Caenorhabditis elegans: one gene and its partners. The protein of the gene in region 4 purifies or fractionates together with the protein of the main gene of each other region. This does not show direct contact. Each region holds a gene or a part of one and is shown on either strand. Other genes may lie near its edges.

Region 1 (7,529 bases), on a different chromosome or scaffold from region 4:
CGATCCATAATTTTTCGAATTTCCCCCTTAAAATCGTCTCTGCTTTTAGAGACGTGCTCATTTCCACCCATATAATTGTATTCTGTAGCATAAGAGTCCCATCCGACATTCCATCAGTTCATTTTCCTGTATATGTTTCTAAAGTCTTCCAAATCAATTTTAGTGATGAATATTTTCGCCTTCTATGATTGATATTCTCAGATAACAATTCATTCGTAGAAATATAGTGATGTTGAAATTATCAAAAAGGGAATGAGCAGAACGGAACGAAGAATATGTAAAATATGGAACGGAAATGGATGAAATAACGAGTCATTTGACGAATTAATAACAGAGGTTGCGGATGAGATGGCATAATATTTGACCGAGGCAATTACTTCTTTCCTGATTTCTTGATTCCTCCACCGACTGCAAAACAGGTTGATAGTTTAATGTTATTTTACTGTTAACAAATAACTTACGAAGTGGTCCACGTTGTCCAGCCTTGGCTGCCATCTCCTTGATCTTTTTGGCTTCCTCTTGTTGCTTCTTCTTGAACTCGACGTCTTCCTGTAACCATGAAATTATTATACATTTTTCGGATCAAAAATTCTCACTATGACCGTTTCAAATGACTATTTATATTAACAACTCATTCAAAATTTAAAATCCTATTCGGTGTACGGAACCATGGCGCCTCCAAGTATCATGATTTCTTGATAAGTGTTCAAAAAATTATATGAGATTATCGTTTTCATCAACCTACGCTCAAAAGTGTGACAATATTGAACGAAAAACTGATCTATTGGATTTCTTCTCTCATTAATCAATTAGTTTTTTTTTGCAATATTACGCCCATGATAAGTATAAAATATCTAGTATCATCATCATTTTCACCTCAGAAAGATCCTTCTCCGTTTTTTTTGCGGCCTTCAGTGGCTTTGCCTTTCCTCCTTGACGTCCGGACATGATGATGATTGGCTGAAATTGAGTTTTATAGAGCTAATTTCACAAAGATTATATTTCGAACAATAATTGTACAAGAATACATTTACTCGTAAACACATATTCACTATGAATCTCCTACTTCACATTTCCTCTCTATTACTACAGTTATGGCTTTGGTTTTTTGATAGATTCATAATGTATCCATTAATGAGAATAGTAGCACCAAAGTTAGGTGTTCGTTTCATGAATTTGGGCTACTGGCCATCATCAGCACCTCAGTACGCAAAAATGAGAATGTTCATGGAAGATCTAGGTGACCTAGATGAATACGGTAAAATGAAAACACTAATCGAGGTTTCCTTGTTAATTTAAATGTTCAGAGTCGGATCGAGCTCATATTTATCTCTATGAAAAAGCATTATCAATGCATCCAAATTATCCTTATTTTGAACAATTTGAAATTCTTGAAGTGAGCTGTGGTCAAGGGTACTCTCTCGATTGGATAGAAAAGTAAGTGTCTTGCATTTTTTTTAAAACGAGAAATATGGAACACAGGTGGCATGGACCAACAAAATGCATCATTGGCTGTGATAAAGTTGTCACTAGAAATATGAATAACATAGTCTACGGAGATGCACTAGATTTACCGTTTGCAGATAATTCGTTTGATTTTGGTAGGATCATATCAAAAAATACCAAAAACATCTTGAAATTAAGTTTTGAATGTGGAAGCAGCTCATCTTTACTCGGACTACAAACTATTTTTCAAAGAGGGCTCACGAGTTTTGCGATCGGGTGGTGCCTTCTGCTACATGGACATTCGATATCCCCATGAGGTTAGTCTACTTGTAAAATTTATATAAATACAGCTAGTGATTACAGGCAAAACAGATTCAGGAGACAGCCACAGCAGCCGGTTTTGTAAAGAAACATTTCGAGTTTTGCACTGATGAAGTAGTTGAGGGCTTAAAATATTCAGCGAGAAAATATGATAGGCTACTAGAGAAAGTAAACTAGGCCAAAAGTTAAAAAATTTGTATATAAATATTTTAGGCTCCTTTCTTCGTTAAATTCTTCAAAAACTCGCTGCGAGCAACGTACTGTGCTCCTGGAACATCAACTTATGAACGATTGAAAAATAAACAGCGGATCTACATCGCAGCGATGTGGATAAAGAAATAAAGAAATGAAGAAGTGAAGAAGTGAAGAAGTGGTATTAAATAACATGTAAAAACATTTTAAAGATAATAAAACAATTGGTATTTGACCAAGAAAGTGTGAATACAGTTTTAAAAATACAGCGATGGTAATAAATTAATTCATTCAACCGGAAATGATGAAGAAGTGGGGAGATTCAAAGCGAGTTAACGCAAAGAAATAATACGGGAGAAGAAGAATAGGGTAAAATAAAAGGATTTACACGTTTGAAGAACTGGGCTCGGTTATGCATTGATAACTCTGGCAAGCTTCTGAATGCGGTTGAGCAATATATCTCCATCCTTGATAACTGCCTTGTACAGATGATTCTTCGAGTCACGATGATTCACTTCAATCACTCCGTTAACAGCATCAATACGACATTGCAATTGCCCAGTCGCAATCAGACGGTGCAATTCGCGGTCGATGAAAGCACGGGAAACACCAAAATCCTTGGCCATCATATCGATACGTACAGTCTTGTAAGGAGTCAAAAATTGTTCGTAAGCGCGATGGCGCATTCCACGAGAGTAATAGTTGAAGTGTGGCGATAGATAGCGATCAAACTTGAACTGAAATATAACGATAAGTGAAAAATACAAGATTTGTTTTAGTAACTTACTCTCTCGCTTTCAAGAGCGGCCAACTGAATGAAGAAACGATCGTAGTGACAATCATAGTATGATTCGAGATACTCACGAACTGGAATCAATGTTCCATTGAGTCCCCCTCCGGTCAGCTGTTCTTGAACTTCATTGCAACGAATAACCTTGGTACGAAGGTCTGGTCTGTCCAAAGCAAAGGTTGTGGTGATGACAGTGTAGAGAATCAAGTTTTCATATGTCATGAGCTCGTATGATCCGAATGTTGGCACAGCTTCAAGGAACAAATCAGCGGCTCCAGCAAAATCACGAACAGACATTCGGTAAAGCGCTTCGTAGGATCGAAGGCGATTTTTGCGTTCCCAGTCTCCTCCTTGCTCCATAAGTTCTTTTGCTTTGGTGATAAACTTGTTGATGAGATGATGATCGAGGAAGAAAAGTCCAACACGAATCATGGCGAAAACTACATCAATACGATATCCCATACCGACTGTCTTCTCATAGGTGGCTGTGTACGCTTTCAGAGCGTTGTCTTTGTCACCGATCTGACAGTAGTACTCGAACTTGCGGAGTAATCCCTGACGCACTTCAGATTCGCCAAGGTTCTTCTCCGCGTCTTCAACTTCTGCGGTGATTTCATCGATCTTTTTCTGATTAGCTGCTTTCATTGCAGCCAATTGTGTTGCATCTACGACAATTTTGAAGTCAGCGCAGACAAGCTCGTAGAATGGCGCCATGTCGAATTCTTTGATAGTTTCCTGAAGCTTCTCGAGCTTGGCTTCTTTCACGCTGCTGTCTACTTCGGGATGATTGAGCATGAATCTGGTTTGTGATAACTCAAGATCAGGCCATCTTGAAATGATCTGAAAACTCTGAACTTGAATGATTTCAAAACTACTGATCCGTACCTCCTTATCGAAGTTTCCATCATCTACGGGTTTCTTCGTGCTCTTTTTGGCAGCCTCTGTCATCCTCCTTAAAATGAAATATGAACACTTGAAATTGTAGCAAACGTTAAAAAGCGGCCAAAACGGAAATAAAACTGTTCAATGGTATTTCAAACGTGAAATAGCATTTTAGTTAGTTTTCATTAAATTTGCTGTAATTATCGAAATATAGATTTGGTATTAATTTTAGTGTCTAGTTTGTTAGTTTTTGAAAATAAGCGTTGATATCTATTTTAAATTCGTAATAGTGCCTTATTTTACATTACAGTGAGCGGCACAGTGAAAACTACGTTAAAATATCTATTTCATAGTGCATAAACAGACAAAACCGTATCAAAATTCAAGAAAACTGGGGGAAAAATTCAAAATGGGACGAATAAAAGTGGGCGGGGATGATGACAAGGGTTTGCAATACGCGGCGCATGCTTTCGCAATTCCGCCGCACGGTTTTATTCATCCTTTCATTATCGAGCGCTCTCGTTATTAGCGTTTGAACGCAGGAAACGGAGCATTTGTTTCGCATTCAGTTTTCAACCGCCATCCCGTTGTATTGAGAAACATGGTTAAATTGCATTTAAAAACCACCTGCCGTGAAGTCCCGATCGAAGAGATAATTTCTACTGGACAGATCCAATTCTTCAAGCATTTATCAGAAAGTACTTCCGAATTCAAAGACCAAAAAAACGTTGAACGTTTCCGTAAGTTTATTTCTTCAATTATCGATCATATTTATTTCTTCAATTATCGAATCAATCACTTTTCAGGTTTGATTTATAACGGAAGAGCATTGAATGAAGAGAGCCTAAAAAAGATTACTGATGCTGATTCAATCAGAGTCGTGCTGCTTCCACCGCTTAAAACAAATGTCAGTTTTTTTCCGTTTGAAACCCAAATTAATTTTAAGATTTTCAGAACCACATCGAAGAAGAGCAAAAAAATCGAATCAGTATTGCTCTCAAGGAGTGTACCGCCCCATATACACGCCCAAATGATCGTCGGCTTCATGGTTTCAACCACGACTTTGCACTTCCAGATCACATGACAACGCTTCTTGAGAAACACCCACAGCTGGTTCATGATAATCAATTTTTATCTGTTCTGAGTGATTGGTCATTATTCCGTGCCTATTGCGTTCAGAACGATTTCAAAGATGATCCAATTCGGGGACAATTCATGTACACGAATCCCGATTTCTTGAAAGTAGTAGAAAATATTCTATCGACAGTAGGATCTCGTTACGGATACGAAAACCTTGATTATGCAAACGTGGAAAGAAATAGACCAGGAATGCTTGCAGCTCAGCGACCAATTGGAGGTGCTCAACCGGTTACTCATGCGTTGCTTCAAAATGTAAGATTTCTTGGACACACTGATTCTCATAATTCGAAAAGAATAATTGAAATATAATAATAGTTGAATACATATTTCTACTAAATTCTCCATGCCAATTTTTTCAGGCTCTCCAAGCAGCCCTGGCAAACATTGCAGTTCCTCCGGCAAATCGGGTTCCAGCTCCCGCCAATGTCCAGCCAGCGCAACAGCAGCAAGAAGAGCCAATGCAGCAAGGATATGAACAACAAGCTGCGACTCTCCGCGAGTTTGGATTTGAAAATGATGAGCTCATTCAGTTGGCTCTCGAACAGGCGAATGGAGATGTGCAAGCGGCTATGGAGTTTCTTATTGATCTCCAAAATTAATCTACACCAATGGTTTTATTCTGTCTTCTCATTAACTTTTTCTGTCTATAAGTGTTCATAATTCGTTTTTAATGCATTCAAATTGCCCTATTCATTCGTCAATAGGGCTAAAATAATCTCATATCTGTTTAAAATAAAGCAGTGAAATGAAATCACCGTTTATTCGTCTAAATCACTCTTCTACAAACTCTTCTCTGCTTATTTAGTGTCTCTGGGTCACTATAACATCGGATAACAACTTATTTCCCTGGGGTTGGGAATGGCAATATTCACTTCGCTTCTGATTCAAAAAAAAATACAAAATAGTCCAGTACATCGGCAAATACTCTTTTACTACGGACATATTTTTTACTACTTCTTATAGTGATTATTACAACGAGTTGAAAATGCATTTTTTATAGTATCATACATTCTAGAAATTAACAATTGTACTTATCAATTAAATAAAATTAGATAGGCCACAGTTTCAGTTTATGCTCGAGTAGTTCTAGCAAATCTGTGTTGCTTTCTTCTGACGGGATACTGAGTTGGAGTTGGCGGAGTGATACTGCTGGGTTACTGTAGTGGTACTGTAGGCGCAATTAATATTTTTTCGCAGAATCAACAAATTTGTTCCATACCTATTGTTTTTTTTGAAAATAAAAAAACATTTCCTGGTCCGTTCGGTAAAAATTTACCGTATTTCCTCTATCAGTTTTGCACCCATTCATCTGTTCCCTATGCGATTCAAATTTCGCATTATAAACACATTCTACAAATTAGGAAAACTCTTACAGACTTGGTATATAAAGTCAGAATTGGTTAGTTATGATTACAACTCGGCCAATTTTTGGCTAGCATTCGTAAAATTCGTTCTTTTGGCCCAATTTTTGCTAATTTGCTAATTTTTGTGTTATAACAAAAAGTTTGCTCTTTTATTGATTAAAGTGGTAATAAGACAATTTCTTCCAATTATCAAACTGTAAAGCCGACATTGGACAATTCTCCGAATATTCACATGTATGTTTAACATGTTTCAGGATTCAATTTGAACATTTTCCATTTATGAATTTGCAGAAGAGGATCGTAACCCATCACGAAGAATCTAGAAGCCCAATCTTTGGTAGTATTGGCTCTTCACATCATACGTTTAATTAAACGAATCAATGAATAATTCGATTTACAATTTTTATTTTCAATCTATGTACATAACCAAATAGATCATTTTTTAAACTTATATAAAAAATCTAGAAATCTTTGAAATCATAAAACCATGGTTATGTTCTTGGTTATTCAGTTCAACGAGTCAACTTATTCAGTTAAGTCAGTTATTCAGTTCAACGAGTCAACGAGTTAAATACCAATTGCAACCAGAAAACAATCTGAGAATCCAAAAACCCTGCAATTAGAATTTTGTTTTCTTCTAATTGTTTGAAGTTTTCACGTACACAAATCAAAAAGATCAAGCATGATTATTAAAGTTTTTGGAGAGCAGGTTATTTTAAATTATCCAAGATTTACCGTTTTTATTTACTTTTGAGATTAAATTATAGACTAAATGCCAACTAAAAAATCTTAATATGATCATTTGAACAATATAAAATCACGAATCAAAGTTTAATAAAATAGTTTCCTTGGTTTGAATGATTTTCCTAATTCACCTGTTTTTTAAAACTTCAATTATCACGAATTTCTTTTAAATTTTTTTTTGTTTTTGCTATTTTCCTCCTTTTTTAGTTTCTGACATGGTTGGATTGAAATAAAAAGAGATTTCAAGCGTTTCAAAAGTTCATTGGCTTTAAACTTCTTGATAATAATACATTTTTATTCAAATTTTGTCTCTAATGGGGTTATTCAAGTAATGTAGCAAAATGTATTAAAATACATTTGTGACGTCACAAATGTATTTAAATACATGTTTTTATATACTTGAATAAGGTTGTGACGTAATTTTTCTACACTTTTTAATTTTCCGACACTACTTGAATAACCCCATAAGGACTTTTTCTTCACTGTGTTCGGTTTTGAAGTTATTAAAATATATTTTAAAGTCAATCACAAAGATGGGACTTTGCCAATCTACAGTGGACGTTTCCCCAGCAAAATCGAATTCCGAAGAAAATGTGGAAAAAGAGTAAGATTTTTAGTTTTTCTATGTTATCAATTTAAACATACTCCCA
Region 2 (7,539 bases), on a different chromosome or scaffold from region 4:
TCTTGCATGGTGTAATTGAGATCGAACTCTCGGGTGACCAAACATCTCCTGTATCTTTGAAGGAGTTCTCTGTTGAACATTTTGCATCCAGGTTCACGGCTGAGGTGTTGAAGATCTCCGCTGACGCATAAATTGAACATCTTTCTGGTAGGAGGCGCCATTTCAACTACTCGCATCGTATCGGAGAAGTCTTCTTGTTGCTCTCGGAAAGCGTCGTTTGAAATCATAGTTTCAGCATCGACAATCAGCTTTCTCGCTTTTCTCTGACGTTTTTTCCGTCCTTCCATGTGCTCCACATCTAGAGGCTCCAGGGCAAATGACTCGGGACTTTGTGGTCTCGATGGCTCAACGTTTTCAGGCTCGAACGGTTGATAGTCAAAGTCCATACCATCGTCGTTTTGAACATCTGCGACAGCATGCTCTCTGACGGGATGAATCATTGAGCTGAACATATCAGCAGGCCCAACACCACCATCGTTTTCCAGTGTTTGATTCTCAACCTTCAGGTTCATTTCAGGCATGAAATTTCCGCCTTCCTGATTGTCAAAAATAAGATTTGGACGTGTTGGTCCTTCGGAGAAAATCACACTATCCGCATCTATACGGGAAATTTCCGTTCCATTTGCAGCCACATCACGATCTCGTTCGACTTCCATCAACGATTCTGGCTGAGGAGTGGGGCGCAAAGACAAAGGTTCCACCGATCCGTAGAGATGATCGAGTTGCCAAGATTCTCCTTCGTCACCGAACCCATCGAAATCTGCGTCAATGTTGAACTCGACATTGAAATTGACGGTTTCTTTCATGGTGATGTCTTCACGACGGCTCACATTAGCCTGAAACAGCGATTAAATTGAATGTGAATTGCTTTTAATACAACGCACCATAATGAGCTGCTCATTGTAGTCGGCATCGTGGAACTCGGGCACTGTGATATTGTACTTATCAATGAAGTTTGAGAAATCCTCTTCAATTTCTGCATTCTCTGGAATGTCGACTTCAAAACTGAATCCGTTGCGGAAGTTAATCTTCATCTGAAAATTTACTTTGTTTTTGTCGTTCTAAATTATCTTTAATTACCTTTTGATACGCTTCATTTGTATCAGCCAGAAGATATCGTGTCTTCTTCGAGTAGATTCTCACGATTCCAAGGAGAAGATGTCCAACTGTTCGGAGCGCCATTTTAACCTTGGGGCGAATGACTTCCTCGATCGCTTGGGGAACATCTGTTTCGAAGATTTGCGCCTTTGTCAGCTTTTTTTCCCAGTGAGCTGCCAGCCACACTTTTGCCAACGGTCCCTTTTTGGCGAGAACGAACTGTGCATAGAACATCTGAAAATAGCATGAGATAAACAATAGATTGTTAACGTCAAAGAGATCATAGATTAGAAAATTCCTGAGAAAACATGATAAAAGAGCAAAAACTGGAAGAATAAGTATGTTCAAATGATCACAATGAGAGAAGCAATAGTTTTAAAATGAGGCAAACATTGAAAATGCGGTAAATTTCTGATGATGAAGACAAAACGCTCGAAAAATCGTTTTCAAATATTTTTGTCTTCCTCCTCCTGGGTCTTACCGCGATTTGAGGTACGGTAACACTCGTTTCAGCTGTGCGGATTGTCACTCAAGAAATAATTATTTTCTACTCTCTACCTTTAAAATTTTTGTGCATTTAAAAGTAATATTTTTATAGGTTTTGAAGTTATTTTTCAATTAAAAAAGCAGAACTATATATTCTAATTATTGTTATTCCAGATATGGCCGACAGACGCGAACCGATCCCGGTTGACCCGGTCGATGTCGGAGAACTAAGCGAACTTGACAATTTGGCTCATTTGGCCGCTCATGTAAGTTTTAAAACGTTTTCGAGAATTTATCTGTAGATTTCATTAAATGATTTTCAGGGTGGAGATGGTCGTTTGTTCAAAATGGAGCAGGACTACTCGAAACAAGTCGACGAAGCACTTCTGAAAGCCCGAGATATCGCTCAAAAGGACGCTGTTGCTGCTGTAGAGAGTCTGAACAACATCGAAAAGCTCACTCGTCTTGGAGCTGACATGAAGAGCAATACACGCGTTGTTCAATATATGGTGATAATACTTTTCAAATTAAAAAAAAAATATTAATTCTGATATTTGCAGACGAAGCTTTGTTTCGAAGGGCAGAAATGGGATCTTCTTATGGAAACAATCATGACGCTTTCAAAGAAAAGACTTCTCATCAAAATGGCTATCGCAAAGATGGTCCGTGATGCTGTCGCAATGATTGACAAAATGCCAACCGAGGACCTCAAGATGAAGCTTATTGAAACTCTTCGCACTGTTACAGCTGGAAAGATCTATGTGGAAGTGGAACGTGCTCGCCTCACCTCGATGGTTGTGAAGAAGTTGGAGAGAGAGGGAAAGCTTGACGAAGCTGCAACCATGCTTCTTGAACTTCAAGTGGAAACATATGGCTCCATGGAAATGCGAGAGAAGGTGCAATACCTTCTCGAGCAAATGAGATATTCTCTCGTTCGTAATGATTTTGTGCGAGCCACTATTATCTCTAAGAAAATCAATATCAAGTTCTTCAACAAGTCAGACGAAGATGAAGTACAGAACCTGAAGCTGAAATACTACGATTCGATGATCCGTATCGGACTTCACGATGGAAACTATCTGGACGTGTGCCGTCATCATCGTGAAATTTATGAGACGAAAAAGATTAAAGCTGATTCAGCCAAGGCGACCTCACATCTTCGTTCTGCCATTGTCTACTGTCTTTTGGCTCCGCACACAAACGAGCAATGGGATCTCCTCAACCGAATTGCCATTCAAAGAGAATTGGAAACCGTTCCAGACTACAAGGTAAGCTGTGCGATTTGAATTTAATCTAATTATTGTTTTCTTTTCAGATCATTCTGGATCTTTTCATCAACCAAGAACTCATTTCTTTCAAAGGAACCATTGTCGCAAAGTACGAGAAGCTTTTAAGACGTGGAACAACTAGCTCACCAGACACCGGAATTTTCGACAAATCAACTGAAGGAGAGAAGCGGTGGTCTGATTTGCACCTTCGTGTTGGAGAGCACGTAAGTTAAAATTTTAATAAGTTAAAAACCTGTTAAAATTTATAAATTTTTATTTGTATTTTTACAGAACATGCGTATGATTGCCAAGTACTATACTCAAATCACTTTCGAACGTCTCGCTGAGCTCCTCGACTTCCCAGTTGATGAAATGGAATCATTTGTGTGTAACCTCATTGTTACCGGTCAGATCACCGGAGCAAAACTTCATCGCCCTTCCCGTATTGTCAATCTTCGTTTGAAAAAGGCAAATGTTGAGCAATTGGATGTATGGGCGAGCAACGTGCACAAACTGACGGATACATTGAACAAAGTTTCCCATCTCATTCTGAAAGAGCAAATGGTTCACAAGAACTTGGATCTCGCGGCCCCACGGGCATAAATTTAACCACTTTTTTGTGTATAATTCCGCCATCATGTGTATTTTTCTTATTGATGTTCGCCCTCCCCAATTTCTTCTTTTTCGTGCACCTTCTCCGGTTTTATCATTAATTTATTAATACTGTCGATCGATTTCATCCTTTCACTCTTCGGTTTGATAGTAAACGTATACGTGCTCAATGTGTATTACTAGCTTTTGAAGAAACAATTTTATGGAACAAGTTGTAAGATAGAGGTAACGGGAAACAAATGGATCATCACAGGTTTGAGTTGATTTTCTAGGAAATTGATAAGAAGCTATAACATGAGTGCACCAATTACTGATAAACTTGATATCCATTCTCATCCTCTTCCAAATGTTCTCGTTCAGCAGAAACCAACAACTGAGCTAAATCGGTTTTGTGGACGATAAAAGTGAGGAAAAGTGAGGTCAACATGAAGCATCCACAAACAATGAAAAGATATTCAAATCCGATTTCAGAAAGAGCATGTGTTGAAATGAGTCCAGCGATTAGTCCGGCGACACTCTGAAATGTATTCATGTATTCGCGAATACGGTACCCGGTCTCGAAACGAGAAATTTGTGTTAAAAACAAATAGGTAAGCGCCTTTAAAGTGTACTGTAGTTTCAAACTTTCGCTACTGCGACATTTTCATCGTTTTTCTCACATTTTTTTAAATGTATGTGTTTAAAATGTTTTATTTCATTTATAAAAATTCCGCATCGACGCAAGTTTGAAAGTACAGTACTCTTTAAAGGCGCACATCCCTTTGCATTTAACAAAATTTTGTCGTGTCAAGACCGGGTGCTTTTTCACAAAAACCGGAAAATTTCGCATCCCGGTAATAAGTTCCACTTACCACTGCACACTGCAAAAATCCATACATAACACTGAAATTCGCCTTACTAAAACACTTGTGCGTGATGTAAGGAAAGATTGAAAATGTGCCTCCGATGCAGGAAAACATCAGACAAACCTGAAAAACTGTAATTTCAATGAGAAAAAAAAAGAAAAAAACGAACGGTGGCCAAAAACAGAACATCATTGGATACCATTTTCACCAGTGGCATCGAAAATGCCAAAACTGCTCCCAGGCTGCACACAATCGACATGGAAAATTGATAGGATGTCTGAAAATTTGATTTGAAATTAATTATTGGAAAATCAAGACCGCTCCGCCTTCAAACGTTGGGTCTCGTTAGGTATTAGCGGTAAGAATTTTTAAAAAACATGTTTTCGGTATTTCTTTAGAGTTTAACTGTTTTGTCGCCAATACCCAACGAGACCCGACCCTTGGGGGCGTAGCGCGAATTTTTCTGCGACTCCATAATAAAATAACCGTATCCGCAATTGCACCCCAAAAAACTCTGCTCCCAGCGTTGAAAATCGAGGATATCGATCCGATCAAGCTCAAAAAGAAGTCAGAATCGATAAATTGTTGCCCATAAGCTTTGTAGAGACCACTTGTGAGTTGGACCCAAACGGCATTGCATGTCAACGACAGGAATAGTACTAGGAAAGTTGTGGTTCTGAAAAAAAAACCCGTTATTTGTCTGTATAATGCCTCGCGGCAGGACTTACCGTAACTGCGGCCAAACCCTCGCCTGTTCCACGCGAATTTCACTGTTCGTCCCAATCAAATTCTCCGTTTCAACGTGAATATCGCCTTCCGGTTGCCCGATAAAAATGAGCCCAATCGATTGAAAAACCGTAAAAAAGATGGACATCACGATGAAAACGTAGGGAACCCGTTCCAAAAGATCCTCTTGAGTGAAGAATCCTTGATCGTTGACACGATAATCTAATGGATTGATAAAAGTGGTTTGAAGGGGTGACAGGATGAATGCACCACATCCATATCCACCGATTATGATGCCTCCGGCTAGGCCGACATTGTCAGGGAACCACTGAAATTTTGAAGATTAGCAGAGGTTAGGGGTTTTGAAAAAAAAATTAGATTTTGGAAATCAAGACTTTATTTGAAGATTTACAACAAAAAATTTCAAAAATTACCCTCTGAGCAGTTGGCAAAATGGAACTGTAGGCAATGCTACTTCCGACGCTTGCGATGCCTCCCATCGTAAGCAGTGTTGCGGCGTAGGAGTGTTGAATTGAGTAGAATGTTGATCCAACACCAATTCTGTAACAATACAGATCATTTTTTGTTAAGCACATGGTGCATCGCGATCTGTAACTTTTTTTAAACTCACGTATAAATAATTGAACCTAAAAGTGCACCAGCTCTTCCACCAAACTTTCTCTCTACAAGACCACCAATCACCATTCCCATCGGGAGACCGCCTGAAATTTCAAAATGTCTGGTTTCTTGAAAGTATGGAAAAAAACAAACTCAAAAGTGTCTGCAACCAAATCAATTGCCCCGTCCTCATATCTGGATACATTTTCCATCGGAAATACGAGACAAGGTACGGTAGAAGGTTACCTGGAAATTTTATAAATGCTTCAAATTGTTCAGATTAATTCATAAATTTTCCAAAATTAAAAATTCTTCAAAAGAAAACCCAGTTTTTTCCAACAAATGGCAACTTTCAAGTAGTATTCGAGGTACTTTTTAATAATTTCCAATCAATAAAATATTTTTCTATATTATAAAAATAAATTTAAATTTGAAAACAAGGATTATCACACCGAAATTGGTAGTTTTGTAGATTAACCGAGACCGAGAAAGCTCGCCGCCCACCCATTAAATTTTTAAACCGCCATAATTTGTCAACTGTGAAAATAATCGAGAAGCTGTCAACTGATAAAATATTTAGAATTAATTGAAAATTGTTTTCCTAGTTGACAATTTTTCCTATTACTCACGGTTACAAAGTTTTAATAAGAAATGTTGGAAGTTTTCCCGAAATATTTGCTCTCCAATTTGTTTTGATCTCACAAAATCTTTCTAGATTCTATAACAATTTAAAACCTACCACAAGTATAAACGATTCCAAAAGTCACCATACACATCACACCACCTACAAGTACCGCCCACGGTCTAGCGCCACGTGGCAATCGCTTTAGTATCGGATCATCGGTTTCCATTGGTAGTCTGCCAAAAAACGATGAGCAGGTGAAGCATGACATTTTGAATAAATTATACAATATATACAGATATGTAATGATTGAACCCGAAAATGTTTAGGAATAATGATGCCATGCGAGATAGGGAAAATGTACCTAGAGACGCAGGTGGTGTAATAACTAGACTGTGTGGCATGGTATAGAGACGCAGACGGGAAATAAAGGAACACACAAAGGACATCAGCTGAACATGGTTTGATCTATGGATTTAGAAAACCAGGAGGTTCTAGGCTAGGAGGAAATAGAAAGTGGATTTTCACCAAATAAAATCTATTTGAAGAAAAATAATTCGATTTTTGAAATTACCAAAAAACGTTGATTCTCACTACTTTCTTATCAATTTCTTATTAATTTGTAATCAGTAGATACTGAATATGCACACATTTTTCTCGTTGTCTGCTCTCAATGCTTTATTGAATATGACAAAAAATCAGTGCTAGTTTCCATTTTGAGCTGGTCCATTGCCGTTGTTGTTCGGTCCATGGAGAGGAGGAGGTGCAACTGGCAATGGTGGAGCAGGATCATCAGGCTCATCGAACGGAGGAGTAACTGGAAGCACAAGGTGTTGCATCGGCATGCGACGATTCTGAAAGAATTTTTGTTTCACAGTTTATTCGCGATTTGTGCATTGTCTTAGAATTGTGTTTATAAGGATCCTTGGATCCTCGACTTACCTCTCTCAATCTCTCACGAATCACGGGCGGTGCAATAACGACTCCCTCAAATACCAAATCTTCATTTGGAGCCGCATTCAGACGAGTTCTCAACGCCATCACATCTTTCTTGGCTCCATTGTTATTCTTCCACTCAACCAAGCTAAACTGCCAGGATAGATTTCCAACTGAGACATCCTGGAATAAAGACTTGAAACCTAGTAAAAAGTTAGAGTACTCACGTGACGTCTTAAAAAGTTTGAACTATTTGTCGTCGGAATGTATGGTGGACGACGGACCAAATGCGATAGAATGGTCACATTAGCCAGATTTTCCTTTGGAC
Region 3 (9,221 bases), on a different chromosome or scaffold from region 4:
AATTGGAACAAACTTGGTGGATGGATAAACGAATGCAATTTATTAAAGAATCACTACAGCTGCTTTTAGAGCAACATCCTGCACTTTTACGAGCTCTTTTAGACACGGGAGATTCAATGCTCGTTTATTGTTCACGGTTCTCATCGATGGATGCAGAATTAAGTATGGGAATGCGAGAAATGGATTTCAGATATTGGCTACAAGAAGTTGATCTCACAACAAAACAAGTTAGTTTAATCATTTAGGCATTTTAGCAGAAATAATTTAAAATTCTTCAGCTTATCGAATTGTGTACTCGACCAATGGCCTTCAGACCTCCTTATATTGGTGGAAATCGTCTCGGAATGATTCTCATGGAACTGCGTAGAGAATTTGTACTTCAAGGCGTTTTTCCTCAACAATTGCCTGAACTTCAACTCACTGCTGATTCTATTTTGGGCTCAAACTCACCAACGGAAAATTTCATGACATCTGAATATTTTGATATTCTTCAACCCTGGAATTATACAGCCTTGTGGATTAGTGAGTCATTGTTTTAAAAGAAAAATGAACTTATGAATTCAAATTTCAGATCCACTTTTCCTGCTCGCTAAAGATGGAAATCAAGAAGCAATGGCTCAATGTACGCGAATCAAGACAGCACCACGCATGGTCACTATAGACGATGAAAAAGTTACTGATATTGTGGAGAATTTAGTAAACGACGAGACACAAGAGGAAGCGCTGAATAGCATTGCTCCAGAGGATTTGAGAGCAGTTTTTATGAAGCTTTGTGCAAGATTGCGAGGAAAGATTGAAACACTTGATCGACAATCGATGGAGTTATCCATGGTGGCTATGGAGGTAATTTAAAATTAAATATTAAAATCACATTTTTCGCATCTTATTTTTCAATTCATTACGCGTCACAGATGCGGTATAGTCAGAAATTAATTAAAATTTTCAGACTCATCGTCTTCAATCAATCCGTCGAAGTTTGGCAGACACCGCTGAAAGAGCTGAAACAGAGGGACCATCATCGTCGACAGGACCATCGATATCCGCTCCCCCAATTCCTTCAAGGCCAGGACATTCCAATTATCGAATGGCTGCAGGACGGGAAAGAGATAGAGAAGAAGAACGAGAAAAAGATAGAGAACGACTTCAATCTCAATTATCAACGAGTTCTTCTGGACCACAAGGGTCCGCATCAAGAAAAGAACGTATGGAGTATAAAATACCAACGACATCTAGAAGGAAATTTGGAAAAGATAGGGATCGTTTGCCAGAGAAGTCGTCTTCTGATAGAGGAAGAGATGTTGGTTTTTATTATTTATATTGTTTTAGCTTAAAATTTCCCGATTACATGTTTTCAAAATCAAAATTTACAGAAACACCTCGACACTCCCACCAAAAAACGTGTAAACCAGTCTCCTCCATCGCGGAAAGCAGCTCCATCGCCTGCTAAAAAGCCAGCCATATCCACGTCAACACCAGCGGTCGTTGTTCCTCCGAAGCCAAAGCGAGATCCCGAAGAGGAGTTATCAGACGGCGAGATTCTATCAACTGACGAGGAGGATAATTAAATTAATTTTTTACTTCACGTTTTCGTTATTAAAATTTTCAGAATTTATTCATTCATTTTTGTTGCTGTTTCATTTGAATAACACAGCAAGATTTTGAGGCCAGAAAGGATCTCTTGTTTAACAAAAATAAATTTTTTGTCATTATCGCTTGACTTCAATTCATGTAAGTGAAATGTTCTTCATTTTCAGGTATACACACAAATACAAAAATCAGCGGGTTCATGTTGATTCGAAGTCAAACATAAATAGAGTAGAAGGGGGAAAATAAATTAAAAAAGTTTTGAATGGGATTGGGGGAGCGAGATAGAGTTGATCGAATGATCCAGCAATTGATCAAAAATCGTTGATATTGATCTCGAACGTCGAATGGGGTTTGTTTTCGGTATTTCCAGAGCTCGCAGGAGTATTGACCTGAGTGACGACTTCACTGACAAGCTTCTCCTCTCTCTCCTTATCAACACGATCCGCCACAATAATTCCACCCTTGTAAAGTGGCTTCATGGGACTGTAGGCTCGAGCGTCACTGATCGAGATTAGCTGTCGTTGAGCAGGAATCACACGAGCTGGATTCTGTAGGCGGTGCAATGGCTTCGTGTCCTTTTCTGGAGCCTTTTCTTTCCTGAAATAATTGTAAGTTAATTTGGAAATCTTGGTTTTTTAATTTTTATGACAAAAAAAACGAATTCTACTTTTCCTAGACACTCATTCCAAACTTACTTGGATTTTCCTGGTTGATCAACCTCCATTTTCTCATCTTCAGCAGCTGGTGCTGTTCCTGAAGTGGACGATGATGATGGGGCAGCAGCAGCACTAGAAGCGGAAGCTGCAGCTTCTCGTCTTTTTTTCTCCTCAGCGATCAGCTTCTTTGACGCATTCTTCTTTCCGGTGATGGACAGAACAACAGTCTCAATCTTTTTGACATCCTTATCCTTCTTTGATTCGGCTCGTGGTGGATAGGCAAACTTCTGACTATTGGCATGGCAGATGTAGTCAAGTACTGGAATCTTCAGATTCTCGTTCATCATCACAAGGCATGATGGCTTAGCAGCAAGGGCGATGAAGAAATGCATCGAGTGCCAGAACCATCCGTGAAGGAAGCACATCATTCCGACCATTGATCCCATATCTGGCTGCTTGTCAGAATTTTGCATTGTGACCGCAGCGTTCTGCCCTCCGATGTCGAGAAGTCCTTGAGCAATAATTGCTCCAAATTTGACAAGAGAGTCCTCGTTCTTCTCTCCGATCTGACAAACATTTATTGAAAAACTTGATTGTTTTCTTATAGAGTTACCTTTTTGAGCAATTGCTTACGGAAACCGTTCACCTTGGGACAAGTGTAGTCTGTCTGCTGGCACATGATGAGAGCAAGTGAAAGAAGTGCTCCTTTACGAACGAAACCTTCCTTATCAGAAATCATTGGCTCAATCAGAGCAATAGCTTCCTGAAAAACAATTCATTATATCAAACCCCGGTTTCAGAAAAAAGTATCTTACCATGTTTCCTGTTCCAGCACAAGCAATTCCCAGTGCCATAGCTGCTCCGTATCTGACATGTCCATTGAAATGTTCGGTGAGCATGGCCACGTAGGATAAGCAGGTTGATGGATCCTTGGAGAGAACGAATCCGATACCAATTGTAGCGTATCTCTTGACATCCAAATTTGGATCGGTGGCTACTTTCTCGAGAAGACGGCGTACTACATCTGGAGATCCGGTTCCGGCGTAAGCCATCGACAGCATACAGATTCCAGTGGAACGGAGCATTGGATTGCTCTTAGCTCCGATTGCTTCTTTGATGTAAGGCTCAGCATCTCCTTGGAGTCCGAATGCGGCACAGGCAAGTCCAGTTCGGATACCACGTTGAGTTTTGTCATGCTGTGTGTCAACAGTGTATTGCTTGAGCTCATTGAACACCTCTTGATTCAGATGTCCAGCCATGATAAGGCCCATGGCGATTCCTGCGGATTCTCCGGAAACTGCTTCATCACGTTGGAGAACTTCCCGAACTTTCTCGTAATTCGAAACAGAAGACGATCCAAGTCCAGCAACTCCAAATCCAAGACAAGCTCCGTGTCTCACTGGCTCGTTTTCGGCGGTTTTGAGCCACTGAGCCAGAGTGCTCATGGCAGTTGCATCTCCGTGTTTGGCGTGAATCAATCCATATGCCAGCATTGCTCCTCCCTCTTTAAATCCAAATCCTTCGACAGATTCCTTTGGCAAATATGGCTCAAGTACCTTCATTGCAGACGATTCTTGTCCGTGATGAATGAGTCCAAGTGAAGCGACCGCATTGAACTTGTTCCAGTTCGTAGCTTTGGAAACCCAGTTCAAGTTGTTACGGAGGAAATCGTCACAAGTAGTTCCATATTGCATAAGACCATTTGAGATGAGAAGAGCATTGTGGGCAGAGGCTGTTCGAATGTTCTCCTTGATCTCTTCCATTAGAACAGAATCAGTGTGATTATGACGGACAAAGAAGTCGAGGTAAGCCTTGACAGTTTCATGACCTTTGAGAATTGAATGAATCTTTTCCATCGACTTCTCATCACGAGCATCCTGCTGTTGGAAACGTTTCAAAACTCGATCGAGGAATCCTTGACTCGCTGTTTCATATAAATCAAATGCGATCTGATATGCACGAGTGCTGAGAGACTTCGCGATCAAACTCGTAATCGTGTCAGCAGCGGCCTCGGCGTTATCCGTGAGCACGTAACACTGAAAATGTTTATTTTGTAATTTTACTTCGATATTTGTATAAATCATACCTCGCAAATCTTGGACATGTCCGGCGATGGGCACTTCAAGTACGTCTTGATGACTGTATCGATAACTTGGAATCGGAATGAACGATCGAACGCGCCATTGACAACACGGTTGAGCGTTTCGACAAGTGTAGCTGCACAAAAAAGAATGACGTTTCAGCTTAGTTATTATTGACTTACTCTGATTCTTGATGGTCAAATCTGCAGGCATCGCGCTAATGGCCCTGTCGATCATAGCCAGATTGGTCGTCTCAAATCCTAACGAGATGACAAACCATATCTCTCGTTTATCCAGATTTCTAGCAACAATTCGGTCGATCAAATCTCGGAGTTTCTGAGGAATTCCAGATCCTTGCTTGCTCAGCGTCTTGTACGTGTCAATGGCCGTCTCGATGATCTTGTTAACATATTCTGCGTCGTTTCCAAGACCGGTTCTTGTAGCAGGAACGACGTTGAAATCACCACGAAGAGCAAACTCCAAAGCACGTTCATACTGCTCCAAGCAGAAATAAACTTTGGAGACGAGCAGTGCAGCGGATGAATGCTCTGGGAACGTGTTGTTGTCAAGGAGCTGCTCTACAGCTGGAAGGGCGTCAGCGACCTCAAACCATGTGTTCACAAGAACATCCCAATCGTTAAATGCTTTGAGAACGAGCACTTTGTCGGTCACTGCTGATTTCGGTGACTCGAGAACACGAATGAATGCGGCTGAAAATGAACAATTCACAACGTTTCTTGATAGATATTAGTTTTGATACCTGCGTTTGAAGCGCCTCCTGGCTGAGATCTCCATCTGTTCAACAATGTCAACATCTGAAAGAAATCAAAATTAAAAACAATCCGAAATGAGAGCAGCTAGGAGAAGATAGTTGCGAAGCATAGTTTATTATAAAATGTTTTTCTAGGTTATCAGAAAAACAGCTTTCTCGTCTTAAAAGACAAATTAGAAAACGTCTAAAAATAAATCAGGCGTTTTAGAAAATCATAAAATTACTCAAACACCAACAATGGATGAACCGAACGAAAAGAATGATTGCGAATGACAAATTTCGTCCAAAAACACATACATTTTCAGATAAAAGCTGACAATTTCGCGGTTTCCCGCTGTGGTCAGAATTGTCATCCTCCGCGATGTGCGTCAACTAATCGATAATTGCGCCAGCACATGGGTGTTGGCGCATTTTCTTCAAAGTTGTTTTCTTATTTTTAGACAATATTTTTCCCAGCAATTCCGATAAAAATAGCATATTTTAATTTTTAAAATCAGATAAAAGTGTATTGGTGTCTAGTTTGACCGCTCTAATGCTTAATTTTTCACTGATCGTCTCAAAGCTATGCGGTGGTTACTGTATTAAAGGCTCATTGCACATAGTTATGACATTGGTTTCAGTCTGACTTAGTTTTTGTAGTTTTCAGAGGAACATTTCCGAATTTTCTAGAACTTTCTATATCTTCGAAAAGCTTACCTTTCTGCGTGTTGGATATTTTCGGCCGAACTAATCAATAAAAGTTTATTGAATAATTTTCTTTTTCCTTTGAAAAACTAGTTTACCAATATATTCAATTAAAATTTTACGTTTTTAGGCGTTTTATGTTTCCTGGTTCAACATGGACAGTTATTGTAGAACAAATCGCCGAATACGAAGAGGTTATTGATCCAAAAGCGTTTTTTGATAAGGTAGTTATTGTAATTTGGAATATTGTAATTGAAAGAAAAATTCAGATTATCAGTCTTTGGAAGGAATATCCAAACGCTATCAGTAACAGAATTACAACTTCAGTTTCAGTGGATACAGATTCAGATTTATGGAATGAAGTTTTAAGAACATTTGAAACACATTACAAATTTTGCCCGAGAGATTGCAGCGAAATAGCTATTACGAAAATCATACACAAGGATCTCGCTAATAATAAATTCTCAGATAATGCGTTTGAAGTTTCTTACTATGAAGGTTTGTTTCGAAGTTAGTCTTCTTTTGAAATGATGTTTTTGTTTTCAGAAGAACTCCTTGTACGATTCTACCCAATTACTCTCGATGGAATGCAACACCCACATTTCGAGAGCCCGTATTCAATTGCCATTAAAATCCCAACAGATACATCCATTCAACTTCAGTTTTTGAAGCAAGCTAATTCCTCTCAAGAACATTTTGAATTTATGAAGAAACAAGCATTCAAACAATTGTACACTTGGTTGAAAGGAATTGATCTTTCAAAGTGAGAACGCTATGATTTAACAAAGTCTAAACGTTTATTGCAGATCATCTCGAAAGACAAATTCTCTACTCGACAAAGAGTCCTACATCAAGACATATCGTCATATTCGAGAGGATTATGGCAGAGGAATGATCAAAGGATGGACAGAAAACTCTAATCCACAAAAATCAATTTTCGAGGATTGTGGGATTGCTTCATATATAAATGTAAAATTTATCTATTTCAATAAAATTCCCATCTTTCAAAATATTTTTAGGAGCTTGTCAATTCTGATCTCCTACCAAAGCCGAATAAATTCGTGGATATTGGATGCGGAAATGGTCTTCTTGTTCATCTTTTGAACAAAATCGGAGTAAGATTTTTTTTTTAATCGAAAATTGATTTAATTATAAAATTCATTTGATTTAACTTTAGATTTAAAAAAATAAATGTTTAGATGTCTGGATACGGAATTGACGTTCGTCATCGAAACATTTGGAAGACCACTCTGAAAGATGTGGACCTACGCGAAATGCCTGTCGATCCTCAAATTGTCGTTCAAAATGAACCGCACTTCGATTTAGATGTGGATTTGCTCATTGGAAATCACAGTGACGAGTTAACTCCATGGATTCCAGTTATGGCTGCTAAGTGAGAAGATCATAAAATTTTCAAAATCCTTTACAAAAAATTATTTTTCAGACTCAACTGCAATTTCTTCTTGATTCCATGTTGCCCATTCAACTTTTTCGGAAAGTATGCCAACAACGGAAGCCACTTAGGACCAAAAAGAATAGTTTCACAGTATGAGTCATTCTTCGAGTGGACCGTTTCAGTTGCTGAACGACTTGGATTTGATGTTAAAATTGACAGATTGGCGATTCCGAGCACGAAAAGAGTATGTTTTATTTTTCCTATTTCCTCCTGAACAATTTCAATATTTTCAGCTTTGCATTATCGGACGTGTTCCAGAAGGAGGACTATGCCCAAATGTGGACGAAACCATCAATTCAATGACTGAAGGACAAAAGTTTATTGCAAGACCAAAGGAAATCAAAACAACGAATTGTATGAACATTCCTGTGACTGATCGTGAAAGAATCGCCAAGAAATTATTTGATTTTGTTTTGAATTATTCTGATGCAGTCAGAGAGTTAGTTTCAATTCAACCGCCTCTAGAAATGAAAATATTGTTTCATTTTTTCAGTGGATGGCGTTGTGGAGGTGAAGTTCCTTTGGCCCAGCTTGCTGCGCTTCTCACAGAAGAAGACAAAAAACTAATGAAAGATCAGGACGGAGGACTTCAAACTTTTCTTCGAAATCAACATCAAATCTTTCACGTGAGCACTACGGCAATAGATAAGAAGATTAGTCGATGTTTTGACATTTTTATTTTACTCTTAAGCATATTTGGTGTACAGAACATTTATGTTTATTTCTTGTTTTTCAGGTATACCAAGCCACTGCTCGTCTTCGTGATTTCCGTCAGCCAGTTGTTCAAAAACGTCAATCCTGGAAGCCAAAAAAGGCGGAAACGATCAGAAAAGCACCATGCTGGATGTCACTTCATCATCCAGATGGTTGTCCAGTTGGACAAGAAGCTTGTCGTTATGAACATTAACATTTCCTTTATTTTATTATCGTTGATTTTTTGTTTGTTGTGTTACCATGAGTTTAGTTATTATTTATTTGCTTCCATTTCAAAAGTTTGCCGGTTTTTTTTTCAAAGTTTATATTATCCCCTCCCCTCTCCTATATGATAATCATCTTATGTCATCTGTCCCATTTTGTCTGACTGTTTCATAAATCGTTGTTGCAGAAAGTACCATTCTGGTTGTGTTAGATACGAGAAAACACCTAGTATTAAAAAAAAGTATTAAAAACATTCGATTTCAAAATTGTAAATTGAAGAATTTTCAAATTTTGCGCCAAAAATACAGTACCTGGTCTCAACACGACAACTTTTTCTTAAAAGTTCAAAACTACAGTACTCTTTAAAGGCGCGCACTCATTTGTATTTCTCAAAAATTTGTCGTACCGAGACCGGCTACCGTATTTTCGGAGCAAAATTTTGCGTCTGGATAATATAAGTTTTTCATATGGAGCATTTTCGTTCATATAAAAATCTATACTACTTTCAAAAAACCGCGCGCAAGAAAAAAAAAGACGTCAAACATCTTCAAATGCCAGACAGACAGTTTCACACTAAAATGAAACTTGATCTCTAACACAGTCTATGTTGCACTTTTGTTTATCCTAACATCTTATTGTTAGATTTTCAATCCCAAAAAGTTTCATAAAGTAGACAAGTTACGTAAACTTGAAAAAAAACTGTCTAGGTTCAGGTAAAGTGCACTTATTTTTTCTTTATTTATCAATAATATATGAAACCAAAGTTCTAAACTTCTTCTGAATACTAGATTCCTTTTGAAGTTCTTCCAATGGAATTTCTCAGGTGAATTGATCATTGTTCGTACTATCGTTTTCCATAATATTTTCACATGAACAATCTGTCGTAGTTTCTGTGATTCGGTTCTTATGAAATGAATGCCTTAATTCGCTCATCTTTTCTTGCAAGGGGAGAATACTATTTTTGATCGATCACTGTCTGTCGAGTAATTCTCATCTTTTCTTATGATCTATACAAGTTTTCTGGTTTGATTATTAAGCGTGTTTTGTAGTGAATTTTGTGGCGGCTT
Region 4 (6,749 bases):
ATTAGAGGACTAGGAAAGTAGATTTCGATTTTTATTTTTATTTTACGGTAGATGCAAATTGAAATTTTTTGAAAATTAGGGTATCCGCTTAGAATGTACTGTACATTTTTTGTTACAGCCCTAGCGGAAATAACTTTCAAACATTTTTTGATGAGTAATGCATGTGATAAGAAAATGATTCAACACTCTAAATTCCAATTCTCATTTCAAATTAAAAATATAACTTACTGGCGATATGCCTGAATAGTAGAACCGGCCAAATTCATGATGGTATCCAGCTTGAAAGCTTCCACGAGCACTTTTTCGTATTCGGCTCCAGGATTAGTGTCTTAAACTTTTCAGTTTAGATTTATGATGAACAGAAGAAGGAGTTAAAGAGTTTGAAAAGTTCAGGAAATAGCATTTTATTACGAGGTGCATGTATAAAGCATATATATTTCTACCAAAAAATCAAAGTTTAGGCCTGTTTGTTATAGTTAAAAACGGTTATTTATCTCTAGTGTCAAATATCGAACAATATTTTGGTTCAGCATGTATTACGTAGACGTCTGTAAATGATAATTTTCGCCATATCTTACGCGCAAGGTCTCACCACGCGGGCAAGGAGTTACTGTAGCTCGTGTCGATTTATGAGCCACTATTGCATAATACAGTTATACTCGCTGTTCTCGTGGCGAAACCCTCGACAGAAATGCCCATTTATAAACATCTACATAATAAGGGCATATTAAATTGTTTTTGGGAATCAGAAATTTTCTATTTGGCTCAAATTTGCCCGTGAAGTATGCTCGTAAAGTAAGACCAGCAATTTTGTGAAATTTGGAACTTGTTGTGATCACTATAGCTGAGATCGTGTCGAGACCCACTCAGAAAAAGATCGTGTGCCTTTAAAGCGGGGTTTGACTGTTCACGAAAAAATAATAGACGTCTAAAGAAAACAATTTCCGGCATACTGTGCAACTTACTGTAGCTCGTGCTTCTATTGCACCATGTTTTGAATAAATTTAAATATAATAAAAGAAAAATAAAATGTATTTTTTTAGACGTCTAAGTAAAAATGAATAATATTTTCCATTGAATTGAAATTTTTATGAGTAAATCAGCCTATAAGTCGACCGAACAAGCTTATTTGCAGTTAAAAAAAATTTATTTTCCAAAATTAAATTGACTATTTTTAAATAAACACTTGAACTTTTAAATTTACAGGATATATTTTCTTCAGAAAAACAATTTCAAGGATAAAAAAATCATTTCCACGAATCAATGTGTGCACTCGGTGCAAAAGTGTTCGAAAACTTGGTCTAAAAGTGAAGAAAAAGTGCTGAATAGACCTCGCCTCCTGCCGAAAAGAACATTGTGTGCTGGTGCTGGTGGCGGCAGTGCTTGAAGTGAGGAAACGCACGCCACACAGAGCCGCATGGCCCTCCGATGCCATTGGCTCGATACAAATTCATTTAAGGGCGCTCTTCTTTTCTCTCTTCGCTTGTCAGACAAATGGCACAAGGAATGAAAGAAGAATTGGTGGAAGAAACGAGAGAATTCTATTCAGTTCATTCAGAAGCGGCACACACAATGGTGTCGGGCATTGATTGTGGTTCGCTTGGGAAACATTTTTGGTTTTGCTCGTGATCATAATAAGCAAAACCGCTTGTTAGAAAAACAACTTCCAGTAGATCCGTAAATCCTACTTCCCTTTTTTACCTATTTGTGGATTTTTAAATGAAGAAAAATGTATAAAAATTGTCAAGAGCTCCAATCGAAAAACAAAAAAAGGCAGAAGTGGGTCGAAGAAAAGAGTTGACTGCGACAAAGAAGATTTCAATCTCAATTCGACGAAATTTGAAACTCTTCTCTCTTGCATCACACACACTCCTCCCCTTCTTCTTCTTTTGCTCCCCTTTCTTCGCTGATTTACAATTTGAGTGATGTAGTAGTGTATGGAACACTGAAGAGAAGAACTATGGAATAATGCCGTGGAGCAGCTCGCCGGGGAATAGCGGAAGACGGCGGGTGCGTGGTGTACTACGGCGCAGACATCCATCATTAATGGACAGAAGGCATGGACGCGAATGACGAGAAGTGCTTCCTTTAATGTTCTTTCTGCAACATATACATGACTGTTGAACGGAAAAAGGAAATTAATATGTAATCAATCTTTTGGAGCAGGAAAATAATTTAATTCGGGAACGAGAGGGAGATTAACCGGCGATAAATTATACGGGTCACATAAAAAAGAAATGGAGACGAAAGTAATTCACATGGTCTGTGATTCAAATTAGAATCTACATTTGCATTGGTTCGGCGCCACCTGGAGCTGCTGCTGCTGCTGCTCCGCCAGTTGTGCGTGGATGTGTGGAAACTTGGTTGAGATGAACGGCGACTTGAGCATCTTCGAGAAGACTGAATGGAGAATCTTTCCCGACAATTCCAATAGACGTATTCTGAGCGTTGAGGTTTTCTTCGGCTGGAAGTGTGTCGCGAAGAGCAAGGAGAGCATGGACAATCAATTGTTCCGGAGTTGCTGAAAAAAGAAATTGCTCAATTTTATCAATTATATTCCGAAATAAATACATTTCTCGAAGTTATCAACATTTCTCTCGAGGTAAGTGCGCGCAGACTGAGATCTTGCTCCGATTGAAGTTCCATGCATGCTGACGACTTCAGCAGATGGGTCAGTTTGAATGATGTGTGCTCCATCTTTCTGAACAAAAAAATATTTAAAAGAACAATTATATTTATGATGTTCTTACGTCATATCCGGCAATCAGAATTCCAACTCCGAATGGACGACGGCCATAATATTGTGTATTGGCTTGAAGTTCTGAAATAAGAACAATGTCTTGAGAAAATTGCTTCCAAAATTCGCTTACTCAATTGCATAGATTCAGCGAGCTTCTTGATTGGAACCGCTTGCTTGTAATCCCAACGCCAACTCGAGCACTCGGTTTGGAGGTAGCGAGCCAAGATGCGACCATCGGAGAGGAGACCAGCGATGGAAACTCCAGCGTGAGTGTCAATTTCGTACACTTTCTTCTGATGAGACGACAAATCGTTTTGCGCTCTCTGAAACGAATATAATTAATTGAAATTAACATGTTGTTTCGCCAACCTTCAGGGCGACGATGACAGCGTGGGTTTCACTCTTGATTCCAACAGTTGCCGAACCTTGCTTCATCGCCTCAACGGCATATTCGACTTGGTGAAGACGTCCCTGTGGGCTCCAGACTGTTACATCGCCGTCGTATTGGTTGCGGAACATGGTTCAAACCTAAAAGCTCTTAATTACAATTTATTGAAGTTTTTAGCCATTTTTTGCAGTTTTATAAGCAGAGAGTGTGATTCAAGATGAACCAAGAGTTAGAAAAACATATGGAGTTTATTTAAATCCACAGAAACAAAGAAAAAATATTTAGAAGTCGAAAGAAAACCTCTGAAATGAGTTCTAAATTTGAAAGGATGACAAAATAAGCGAGTACGCATACACCACACTTTACGCGCAATTGCTTACCGTATACCTGGCGGCAAAAAGTGAAAGAAATTTCCAGGCATGGAATTCCATGGAATTATGTAATTCTTCTGGTGAAAACTGCGTAAGATCCTCAAAATAATTTCGAAAAAAAGACACTCAAAATCCACGAAGAGAACTGTGAACAAGTAAATATTACACGAAATTGAACGAAAATTGCGAAAACGTGATTGAAAACGTCGAATTAAATTTTGAATCTAATTTTTGAGGAATTGAATATTTAAAATTTAAAATGTTGTCTACTGATGGTGGTGGCCGATTCCCTGACTTCAATATCTTAGAAATTCCTGTTTAAATCTGGCAAGGCTATACTACAAAGCTCTGTCTTTGAAAATCTCTAGTTTCATTTTTCAATCATGTCTATTGAATAATAAATATCTTTCCTCTCATTCACTTTTCTTACCCACTGACCCACTTTCTCTTGTGACTCTCGACAGTGAAACACCGTACCTAATTAGGCAATTTACCAGTAGTTCATATTCATTCTCGGGAGTACGCAATACCACACGCTCATTGAACTTTGAGAAAGGCGATTTGAAATCGAAATTTATATGTTTTCAAACTATTTTCTTCATGAAGTATGGTACTTAATATATATGTCTTGATATTGCTACTTTATGGTTTGAGTGAGTTTTTAAAAAGTTTTGGATTTGAAATCTTTTTTTCTACCAAATTTTTTCTGTCCTTTTTTATTTAAAAAATCATGAAAATTTGTTAATGGTCGCTCTTGAGGTTATTCAAAATTTAAAATTTAATTTTTGGGATTTTAGAAAAATCGCTCATTTTGTAGGGCTTTTTCTATATTGAAAATTGGAACACGGATTAGAACCATTTTGCGTCTAAAATGTAAAAATGCAAAGTGCGGCACAGAAAAATAGGTGTGGTTTAGAGACAAAAGCGCGGTAATTCAAATCAAAAGTTTAGCTAGATATGACCTTCAAATTAATTCAGATACCAGTTTTGCTTGTCACTCCCTGAGCTCTCAGTACAGTCAATTTTCATCTCGAAGAGCCAGAGCTCGCGGAGTCTCATCCCTACAACGTACAAGTGAAAATGCAATTGACTTTGACTACCTCACATCAAATCTACCGTACTCCGCAACTGAAATTCGTTCGATCTCATCTCTTACCCCATTTCCTGTGAAACCAATGCTAACTGTATCCGACGGTGGAAAGCTTACATGTCATTTTGACGATGATATGGAATATTGTGGATGGCATAATGCAGCGGACACTGACATGAAGTTTTTTTTTTCAATTTTAATAGAATTTCAAAAATTACTATTTTTAGATTCTGGAAATCAAAGTTAAACTCAGATAATAATTTTGACTCGCAAAGATTTGACTCTGGAAGTCCATTGAGTTTCACACCAGGTAAGAGGAACAAATTGTTTCTAAAAATCAATTGAAACATTCCAAAAAGATTGAAAAATTTGAAAATTTCAGCAAAAGTTTTGGTTGATGTTAGTTTGAAAATTCTGTATTTAAAAAAAATCCTAACGCTCATATGATGCCAAAATGGCCAAATATCATAGTAAAACGTTCCAAAAAATTTTTTAGATTTTTTCATTGACATGCAAAAAGTGGCAATCACTTAGATTTTGCCACTTTTTGAGAAAACTATATCGCTGTCGCATGTCCGAACCCCTACAATGTTTGAATAGGAGTATTTTTAATTGGCTCATTTTCCTATTTTCAAAAAATCATTTAAACATTAAAAAAAAAATTTATTATTAACTTTTTAATTGGGTAAAAGTACCAGTTGATTTCAACTAATCATAACAATTCAGACAACAATTTTCTACTGGCTGGCGGCGAACCAATGATTCTTCCACAGACTGCTGCAATTGAAATGGAAATTCCATGTCAATATGGAGATGCTGAAGTGAAATTCGAGTAGGTCTTCGAGTTCACAGCTACGTTGTAAAATCTCGGATCTTTTAATTTAATTTAATTTAATCTTGATAAAGTTAACTTTTAACTAATTCATCTGAAAAAGCAAATAAGAAATAGGATTCTAGTTTTTCGATTTTTAATCCCTATTATATTCTCATTAGAAAACAAAACTTTGAAATTTATGTATCTACATTTGGTAAGTTTCATCACGGATACCATACTTTTTTCAATAAAAATTATTTTTTGAAACCGATAAATCGGAAACTTTATGGTTTTTTAACCGAGATTGCATATCCAATTTAGCTTTTGACCCTTGCAAGATTCATTCTGAAAAACAGAAAAACAGTGATAAAGTGTTCATATCATGAAAGGGTTAACTTTTAACTAGATTTTCCAAAAAAAAACTAACAGAAACCAATTTTAAATCCTTATTGAATTCTCGTTTCAAAAAACCAAAAACAACGGTCAAGTTGGTGTCGATGGGAAGGGTTTGTATTCTGTTAGGAACACGGGTTTGGCATCACAAGGACACCGGGCTCTCCTGCAAGCAGAAGAATGACTGGGTAACCCATCAACTCCGGACCGATGTGAGAGAATGGAGAATCGCAGTTGTTTATATACCCGTTCACGGCCGAGCGGCAAACATGTTCGGGTGAAAGTAAGATATTTTTTCTTGTTACGAAATTTGTCACAATTGCAATCGCTAGCTGTCTCTCTGCATTTCACATGAACATGTCTGCCACTCGGCCGTGAGCGGGTATATAAGCAACGCCAATTCTTCATTCTCTCACATCGGTCCGGAGTTGATGGGTTACCAGATTAATTCTTCTGCTTGCAGGAGAGCCCGGTGTCCTTGTGATGCCAAACCCGTGTTCCTAACAGAATACAACCCCTTCCCATCGACACCAACTTGACCGTTGTTTTGTTCTTTTTCAACGATATTCTAACCGGAAAGATGAACTGATTTCATTTGGTTTCTCAGAAGGACTAGAATAATTTGTAAACTATAACTTTCTCATGATCTATGAAATTTACCACTATAGTACATAGGTTTCTCTGATTGCAAGGAAGGAATTATTTGTGCATTTCACAAGACAAGATTAAACCTGAGGTTTTGAATTTGGAATTTTATAAGGTTTCACATTCCAAATTGCTCAAAAAGGTTGATAATGAATAAAATGAAGATATGTGGTGTCAGAATGTCCCATGTCGGTTTGATCTTCGAAAAGTTGACACATACATCCTAACCAATTTTGCATGGTTAAGAGCGTGCTGACGTCACATTTTTCTGGGAAAAAATTCCCGCATTTTTTTGTAGACCAAGCTGA

The links.
Region 1: the proteins of pas-6 (region 4) and rpn-7 fractionate together in Caenorhabditis elegans (co-fractionation; one large-scale study listed by BioGRID). This does not show direct contact.
Region 2: the proteins of pas-6 (region 4) and rpn-5 fractionate together in Caenorhabditis elegans (co-fractionation; one large-scale study listed by BioGRID). This does not show direct contact.
Region 3: the proteins of pas-6 (region 4) and rpn-2 fractionate together in Caenorhabditis elegans (co-fractionation; one large-scale study listed by BioGRID). This does not show direct contact.

Annotation. Positions count from the first base shown.
Region 1 is NC_003282.8:9,312,811-9,320,339, reverse strand, and holds rpn-7 (26S proteasome non-ATPase regulatory subunit 6), read right to left. Parts: upstream 3,702-7,529; 5' UTR 3,698-3,701; coding exon 3,635-3,697; intron 3,590-3,634; coding exon 2,747-3,589; intron 2,697-2,746; coding exon 2,370-2,696; 3' UTR 2,110-2,369; coding exon of another isoform or gene 1,981-2,109; 3' UTR 1,936-1,980; coding exon of another isoform or gene 1,810-1,935; 3' UTR 1,764-1,809; downstream 1-1,763. Other genes in the region: F49C12.11 (Translation machinery-associated protein 7 homolog), read right to left, coding at 374-408, 462-549, 877-948; nemt-1 (Methyltransferase type 11 domain-containing protein), read left to right, coding at 1,054-1,258, 1,308-1,437, 1,483-1,601, 1,645-1,763, 1,810-1,935, 1,981-2,109; F49C12.9 (UBA domain-containing protein), read left to right, coding at 4,233-4,371, 4,438-4,538, 4,586-5,023, 5,131-5,370; F49C12.7 (CHK kinase-like domain-containing protein), read left to right, coding at 7,413-7,483. UniProt on the Caenorhabditis elegans protein: Acts as a regulatory subunit of the 26S proteasome which is involved in the ATP-dependent degradation of ubiquitinated proteins.
Region 2 is NC_003280.10:4,692,514-4,700,052, reverse strand, and holds rpn-5 (PCI domain-containing protein), read left to right. Parts: upstream 1-1,758; 5' UTR 1,759-1,760; coding exon 1,761-1,850; intron 1,851-1,907; coding exon 1,908-2,093; intron 2,094-2,144; coding exon 2,145-2,852; intron 2,853-2,899; coding exon 2,900-3,076; intron 3,077-3,143; coding exon 3,144-3,455; 3' UTR 3,456-3,632; downstream 3,633-7,539. Other genes in the region: scc-1 (Sister chromatid cohesion protein 1), read right to left, coding at 1-836, 885-1,034, 1,081-1,332; F10G7.5 (MFS domain-containing protein), read right to left, coding at 3,772-3,981, 4,316-4,432, 4,479-4,586, 4,796-4,985, 5,038-5,363, 5,470-5,596, 5,667-5,757, 5,807-5,899 and 1 more.
Region 3 is NC_003281.10:6,195,104-6,204,324, reverse strand, and holds rpn-2 (26S proteasome non-ATPase regulatory subunit 1), read right to left. Parts: upstream 5,146-9,221; 5' UTR 5,140-5,145; coding exon 5,085-5,139; intron 5,035-5,084; coding exon 4,507-5,034; intron 4,461-4,506; coding exon 4,330-4,460; intron 4,280-4,329; coding exon 3,059-4,279; intron 3,007-3,058; coding exon 2,857-3,006; intron 2,810-2,856; coding exon 2,283-2,809; coding exon of another isoform or gene 2,279-2,282; exon of another isoform or gene 2,185-2,278; coding exon 1,899-2,184; 3' UTR 1,731-1,898; downstream 1-1,730. Other genes in the region: sna-3 (NADAR domain-containing protein), read left to right, coding at 1-227, 279-522, 572-843, 947-1,297, 1,371-1,565; C23G10.7 (putative tRNA (uracil-O(2)-)-methyltransferase), read left to right, coding at 5,918-6,004, 6,050-6,278, 6,327-6,543, 6,587-6,749, 6,800-6,895, 6,980-7,173, 7,225-7,420, 7,470-7,675 and 2 more. UniProt on the Caenorhabditis elegans protein: Acts as a regulatory subunit of the 26 proteasome which is involved in the ATP-dependent degradation of ubiquitinated proteins.
Region 4 is NC_003283.11:5,581,076-5,587,824, forward strand, and holds pas-6 (Proteasome subunit alpha type-1), read right to left. Parts: upstream 3,269-6,749; 5' UTR 3,260-3,268; coding exon 3,110-3,259; intron 3,064-3,109; coding exon 2,871-3,063; intron 2,822-2,870; coding exon 2,751-2,821; intron 2,702-2,750; coding exon 2,572-2,701; intron 2,522-2,571; coding exon 2,283-2,521; 3' UTR 2,086-2,282; downstream 1-2,085. Other genes in the region: CD4.11 (MAM domain-containing protein), read left to right, coding at 4,107-4,152, 4,478-4,769, 4,817-4,899, 5,316-5,421. UniProt on the Caenorhabditis elegans protein: The proteasome is a multicatalytic proteinase complex which is characterized by its ability to cleave peptides with Arg, Phe, Tyr, Leu, and Glu adjacent to the leaving group at neutral or slightly basic pH.